2 linked regions of the Drosophila melanogaster genome follow. The protein of the gene in region 2 purifies or fractionates together with the protein of the main gene of each other region. This does not show direct contact. Each region holds a gene or a part of one and is shown on either strand. Other genes may lie near its edges.

The links. The genes of interacting proteins can lie anywhere in the genome.
Region 1: the proteins of wde (region 2) and Pof purify together in Drosophila melanogaster (affinity purification with western blotting, with the first as the bait; one study listed by BioGRID). This does not show direct contact.

The regions. Positions count from the first base shown.
Region 1 is NT_033778.4:24,667,718-24,671,472, reverse strand, and holds the start of Pof (painting of fourth), read right to left. Parts: upstream 2,077-3,755; 5' UTR 1,999-2,076; exon of another isoform or gene 1,950-1,998; 5' UTR 1,903-1,949; coding exon 1,626-1,902; intron 1,572-1,625; coding exon 687-1,571; intron 626-686; coding exon 434-625; intron 376-433; coding exon 242-375; 3' UTR 1-241. Other genes in the region: CG33228 (uncharacterized protein), read left to right, coding at 2,242-2,321, 2,377-2,736, 2,793-3,000; CG4806 (uncharacterized protein), read left to right, coding at 3,172-3,755. UniProt on the Drosophila melanogaster protein: Probable RNA-binding protein that specifically binds to the fourth chromosome and may bind an RNA that spreads the fourth chromosome.
Region 2 is NT_033778.4:10,807,204-10,810,958, forward strand, and holds the start of wde (windei), read right to left. Parts: upstream 1,736-3,755; 5' UTR 1,537-1,735; intron 1-1,536. Other genes in the region: CG12935 (uncharacterized protein), read left to right, coding at 2,586-2,988, 3,048-3,340; Nop10 ribonucleoprotein, read right to left, coding at 3,414-3,554, 3,620-3,673.

The DNA.
Region 1 (3,755 bases), about 14 Mb from region 2:
GTCCATTAAACGATATTTTTTCGGGTTTAATATTTAAAACCGAAATATTATTTAACTTACGTATTATTATGTATTATTATTAATATTATATACCATAAATGTACGCTGAAATAAGAGAAACTGAACAAAAACGAAAACGAAGATACAACAAATAAAGAAACAGAAGTCCAATAAAAAATAAACTAAACTATTATTCTAATTCGTCTACGACGAGTAATTTGGTACACTGTAGCATGACAGATTAAGGATCAGGATCGCGTTCCAGTTGAGCATAGAGCTCCTCAAGTCTGTCATCCTTCTCGTACTCGTCAGCAGTCTTCATCGCACTAGTGCCTCGTCTGAAAGGACCCGTAAACAAGCGGCCAAAACACGATCCTAAGCAAGAGAAGAGGAGGAGAGTAAGTCAAAGAACTCAATTTGGGTATTAGTATACTTTTGGCTTTCTTCTGGCTGTCATCTTGAGCTTGTGTTGTCGGCTTGGTAGCCGGTACGGGATCAGGGATGCCCAAATAGTCGCACTCTTTCTTAATGTCACGCATTAGGTGCACCGCATTGGATCCTAGTAAACAACCTGTGGGATTCACGCTCGGCTCTACTTTGGGTGTAAGGTCAGGTATAAATGTATCTGCGAATGGAAAAGTAGTTTTTGTAAGCTCAGTATATATTCAAAACAGATCAACACAGACCTTCTAAGCTGTTCTGTCTAAATTGCAAACTTTTTATAATAGCGCCGTACTCGGCCATTTGACGCTTGAGCTTTTCAATCTCTCTTTCCTGTTCATTTATCTTCTTCTTGCGCTTGCCGTCTTCCTTGCCGTTGCCACTGGAATCTGAGCAGTTATCGCTGTCGCTAATTATGATAGACTCTAACGGCGGTGGAGATATGACCTTGCAGTCAGTGTTGTCGTCGTCTCCATTTGGGGATTGCAGCGCCTGAAAGGAGGTGGCGCACTGCACCATTGGCATCCCGGCGCGCTTCCGGAGTCGCCGATAGCGGACTGTGAGAGTGCGGCTGTTCAGCGGTGAGTCGACCAGCTCCTTGAACGCTTCCATGGTCTGGTCAGGTGAGGCGTAACGCACAAAGGCGTAGCGAGCGCGCTTCTCGCGCTTCAGCACTCCGATGTCCACGCGCATGGCGTTGGCGAAATAGGCCTTTATGGCCGATGTGGTCATGTTGAACGGTATGTTGCCCACATACAGAGAACAGGGATCAATGAACTCGGCCTGCTCCTCATCGGAGAACGGCTTAAGCTCCGCCCGAAGGTGCCCCGTACCGAAGCGCACCCTGTTTATGTCGCAGATGGTGGCCTCCACATCGGCACCGGCCTTTAGATGCACTAGACAGTATCGTGGAGCCACGCTAATGGGCAAGACCACATCCCGAATATCCTTGGACAGTCCTGCCAGCATGGGAGCAGTAATCTCGGGATCAGGAAAGCGGACGAGCAACACTTCGGAAGCGGGTGTCTGCCCCGGTTTGTTGGTCAACTCGCGTTCCAGGGCGAGGGCCCTTAATGTGTGTTCACGGCGCATTTTGGCCAGCTCCCGACGGGACAACTTGGCAGTGTCGGCTGAATGAAATTGTTGTATAAGAGTACTAGGATGTGAGCGTACCATCAACTTACGTTTCTTGTCACTGGTGGGCTTCTCCAGCTCGGCGTCGTTGTCCAAATCAACGCTAGTTTTCCACGGCAGAAGTTGACTCCCGGCGGGAGTCGGTTCGAACAAATAGGACTCCATCGGTGGAGTACATCCGTGGCCCGTGTAGGGTGCTACGTGTTTGGCCAGCATAACCTGACTGCCGTCGCCCCCCGACGCTTCTTTGTCTTGATCATCGGTGGTATCAAGGCGCTTGGCGTCCGGACCGTCGCCGGATTCAAGGGCCGCGCGTTTTGAATCCATTTTGTTAAGGTATCAAAAATGTGGAAAAATGTGGAACGTGTTCCTAGCTAAAGTTGTGGAAACTGGAAAAGTCTGTTCTATAGCTGTGTTGTTTACCTAATGAATGTTTCCGGAAGGAGTCGGCTTCTAATCATTATTCGAGTCTGACGCAAAACTCATAGCTGCTGCGACCTGGTGATCCGGCAACTTCGAGGCACAGCTGATTATTCTTCGGTGCATTCCTCAAGCACATACGTTGCCAGACCTTCTTCTTTGACAACCATCGGGTAGTGCCGCTGATTGCAGCACAGCTGATCACGTTGCCAGATTGTTTTCAAAGACAGCATAATAAAACACAAAATGTGTGCGGCCCTCTTACGAAGTGTTAAATTGGTTTATTTACGGCCAATACTAGCTAAACCGAATTTCCAGCTCTTACAGTAAGACCTATCCATTGACCTATCCGATTGAATCACTCTGCACCTTCTCATTTAGCACCAGCAGCGTGCTCCGCAAATGGCGGAATGCATCCTCCGGCGAAGTGGAACGGAAGCTCCTCTTTGGCGACAGGCTACCAGATAACTATAAACTGATTTACCGGGCCCCTATCGAGAGCTACGTGACCTGGACGAAGAATATATCCACTGCCACGACCACTGTACTTGCTGCGGTGGCCGCCTATCACTATGCCACAACCATAAACTACCTGGATATGGTCCAGAAAATGGACATAGCCATTCTGGTGTCCCAGGAATCAGATCTGTACTACTTTGTGGGTGGATTTCTGCTTATAAACCTGGCGATTCGAGCTTTTGTCGCCAAATATCCACTGAGAATATACAAGAGCTCGGAAAAGTAACTTTGTACGGTAGTACATGACATTTATAAGTAGTAACTTACTTTATTTTTAGATACGTGGCTGTCTATGGGTCCCAACTACCCATTGGAACTGTAAAACACTATTTTGAACGCGGTCAAATAGCTGAATACAAGAATTTTTTAAATCCCTGGAGCCACATTATGTACAAACTGGGCAACCGCTCCTCAATGCTTCTGGTTGATTACTTCAAGACCCCCTCGGAGTTCCACCAACTGTTCGCGACCAAACAAGAAACGTAGACTTTTTAATTGTTGATAATTGTTACAAATAAAATGTTAAAAACATTTTTTGAAATGTTTGTAAATTCCCGCCCATTTTCTATCGGTTATACCAGGGATGGACCTTCATTTTGGGTATTTTGCCGATCAGCTGTTTTGTTCGTTAGTTCTCATCAAGAGTTCCACGTGCAAATGGAACTTAAAAAAATGAAATCTTTAAAAGACGACGCTGCCGAATCCCAATCTCAGCCAGAAACCGGGGTCCGGAAGCGCCGCAACCCCTTTAACACACAGAGGCTGAAGGAAGAGAAGGAGCGCCGCCAGAAAAAGCGAGCGCGTCTCATCGTGCGCAACATCAGTTACAAGTCCACGGAGGACTCGCTTCGCGAGCATTTCGGGCAGTGGGGCACGCTGGAGGATGTACACATCCTGAAACGAGGTGACGGGAAGCTGGTGGGCTGCGCCTTTGTCCAGTACGAGACCATTAACCAGGCCACCAAAGCGATCCTGAACTCCAACGGCAAAGAGCTGCTCGGGAGAAAGGTATTTGTGGACTGGGCTTTGGGCAAGGACGAGTATGTATCAAAGAACCCGAAAGACGAGGAGCCGGATGAGAAGAAGCCAAAGGTGGAAGTGAAAGAGGAAAACGGTGACGAGAAGGAAGTTAAGGAGGAAAGCGACGCGGAAGTTGGCAAGGAAGATGAAAGTTCTGGGGAGGATTCTGATGCGGAATCCGGCGAAGATGAAGAGGACTCTGGAGAATCTGAAGACGAAGA
Region 2 (3,755 bases):
GAGGCCGAACGCAAAGATTATGTGGAATCAGAGAAGGCTGAAGCAAAAATGTAACAGAATGTAACCCTGTCAAAAAAAGAAACTTTCCAAACTTTCCAAACTTTCAAAACTTAGAACCTATAGTCCGTCCGTCCTTCTGGTCTTTTCGAAACGAACTTAGGACCTTGCCAGGATACCGGTTTTGTAGAAAGTTGCGGAGTGAGCGGGACGGACAGAGAGAGCGGCCGGAGAGTAATTGCAAGAGAGAGCAAGAGGCCAAATTTATATATGCACGTGGCTATATATATTTGCCTGTATGTAGGAATTGAATAAAGTTCGCGTAGCGCCAAACACAGCACGACAAAGATACAGCAGCAAGCCGAAAGCAACAACTACAACACCGGGCAAACAAAAATAGAGGCGTAAAGTCGTTGTTTTTGTAGATGAAATGCTAAAACCTTCGATATCAGCTCTATTAAAGAAATTGATCCTAGAAGCTAGTGACATTGGATCATTAAATTTCGACTTGCTCTGATGGCAATACTTTTTTCAAGATGCTTAGGTCCATTAAAACCGTTGCTTATACACACAAATGTAGATAACAAACATGTTTAGGTGTCGTATTTTTGCAACTTAAAGTATATATGGCCAATTTATCGTCTTTAAAGTTCGGTCTTGTATTTAAGCCAATTTTGGGCTATATGTCTATTATAGCTGTCCCGCTCTAACACGCGCACACACACCAGTTAAGTTCGTTGTAGCAACGGCACATCGGTGTGAGCGTGTATGTATATCAGAACGTGTATTTGTGCGATTTTGCAACGCATTTACATTCTTTTTAGGTTACGTATCGATTTTGATGCAGAGTGAGGTTAGATCGAAAAACATCCAAGTTTTTGCATGCTTTACGAAAGCAAGGACATTTTTGAAATCCCCTCGGCGCCCTCTGCATGTTTCTGGTATCAGACGTTCGATAAAGACTAAACCCCGAAAAACCTAAAACGAGCAGGTTGCAAGCAGAAGCAAAAGCAAAACGGGCGGCGTTTTTATTCACCTATTGTACAATTTTATGTTTTTAGGGTTGCCAGGTATGCATTATGTTTATCATGAATATAATATAAAACCTCGATGTGTCCGATTAGACGCAAATCAAATGTCTTTAAATGTATAATTGAGACCATGATGTCGCGCAGGGTTGCCACCGGCAGGTCATTTTTTGTCCTATTGCAATGGCATTGCGGTATATAGTCTTGCCTACACGTCGGTAGTCTAGTCTAAAATATAGCATAGTAACAAATCCAGATATATATCAGATTTCGCCTGATTTGCAAATCGCGGTCACTTGACAACCCTGAAAACACAAATGTCTTTAAAGAGACTCGTACCATATCTGGCGTATGGTACCCGTACCCAGTCCAAATAAAAAAAAACTTCAAAACCCAGTAAAAAAAATGCAAATCCCAAATGTACCATTCGATTGGACCATTATATTACAGGGTATTTTTATAAAGAAAATTATAAATATAACATAAAATGGATAAAAAAAACTACACTTACCTTTCTACGACACGACAAACTCGTTTATTAACTTATATATTACCGAAAACTATTGAAATATGACTTGTGGTCTAACGGCAACTATCAAATGTCAATGATTTGAATGAATTTAACAGCTTCTCCGTGATTTGTTTACAATTCGCAGGCAACTCCACTTCCGATGCCCTTAAACGACGAAGACTGAAACACAGACTAAAATCGCACAACAACAGAAGGTGCCGAAAAGAACCAGTCTATGCACAACTGGTTCCGAAGAGCAGCGCCCAGATTGCAAGCTAGCGGCACTTGGAATAGAGATTGGCGCGTGATTCCGGATGCCGATTTCTGATACGCATCGAGAAGACATTTTTTATGGACGTTTCTAACAATACTTATTATTTTTGTATTTATTTAGGTTGGATTTTGGCAAAACTTATTTTATCTTATATTCAACTTTGCATTTTTACGCAATTTGTATTATTATTATTATTATTATTATTAACATGATGACCAGATATAACTTAAACTGGTTACCTTCTCATTACGATAGTAATATTATAAAAGGATGTATATTTAATAGCTGAGGAGAAGCAGCATTTCTATAGTATTTATATACAAAAATAAAAAACGTTATGCAGTTCATGCACGTGTACATCCCTAGTTTGGAACCAAACAAAATCATATGTTGTTACTAGGGCTGTATAGCTAAACGTTTTATTTATGGGAGCAGAACTATTAAGTGCCAGTTGGAACTAAGACGTGATCTCCCCTGTCCCTTCTTTTGCTTAAAACTGAATCATATTGACAAATGTTTTCGGCCCGTTTAAGTAATGTGACGTTCTCATGAAATACAACGGTGAACATTGCAAAAATCGTGTTATTTTCGTTAATTGTTCCAATGGGTGAACTAGTGAACGGAGTCAGCATGTGCCAGCCCTGATGGCTGCTTTGTTGAACTAGTTCCAGTTCCGGAGCTAGTGAACCAATAGCAAACGGAACAAAACAAAAACATCTGTAGATTATAGGTTAATTTGTTTTATAATAACAAATGCGGGAATTATTCAATTAAGATGAGCAATCTGCTGAATTTTGCCCTGCGGCAGGGCGTCAACTCCATCAAGCGCCTTAGCCTCCAGAGTTTCAGACTGGCAGCTCCGGCCATTGTAACAAAAACGCCGGTTACTTCCACGATAAAGAGATTCTCCTCCCAAGCCGCCCCCTTCGATGTGAACACCAGTGTCCCCAAGGACATAATACTTTTCAAGTATGAAAACCCCCGATTCTACCAGATGCTTAACTTTTTCGGGGTGTGTCAGTTTGTTTTCTGGACATATCTCTCGCACTTCGCCTTCACGACGCTTAAGGATGCTCCAGTGGTGGAAAAACCCGGAGAGGAGCTGAAGTGGTTCCAGCGCATAAATCTGGGCGATAATAAGTACAGAAATGGCATTACAGCCTGTAGCTTTCTGATAGGTAAGAGTGGTTTACTACGTTCTCGGCAAGCCGAAAATAAAACTCAACCAACATTTTAGGATATGGCATACTGTTTGCTGTCTGGATGTTTACCCTGCGATCGGTGCGTTTTCTTATCTTGAGAAAGGGTGGTCAGAGCGTTTCCTTTGTGACCTACGGTCCCTTCAACCGGAATCGCATTATGACCGTGCCATTAAAGTGCGTCTCCGCCGAGGAATCACGGAACATGGCCAGGGTGCAGCTACCCATTAAGGTGAAGGGCAAGACACTGTATTACGTCCTGGATATGCGTGGCGAGTTTCGGAATGGCGAGTTATTCGATTACACGGCGGGCCTCAAGCGTCGCATTTAAAGGGCAAGTTTTGTTGTTTTGTAGCTTATTATTTGTAAATAAAGATGTACACTAATTAAAACTAAAATGCGGCTTAGTAAATGGGCTCCGGCTTCTGGGTGAGCAGCAGTCCAAAGCGCTTCTTGATGGTCAGCCTCTGGCGGGAGTACTTATCCTCCGGTGAAAAACGTGCTGGATGAGCAGATAGTGTGGGACGACCATCCTCGGTGCGTTTCTAGAAGAGCAACAAGTGGTGACTTAGTTGGGTAATATATATATAGGGTTTTGATAATAATATACCTTCAGGGTGTAAACGCGATCGCCGTTTTCGTTAATTGTGTACATCAGATACATTTTTGCAGTTTTTGGATTGTTTTTCTGTAGTCAAAGAAGCAGAAAATAAAACACGTGTGGCGTGCGTTGCAAGGTGCTACCA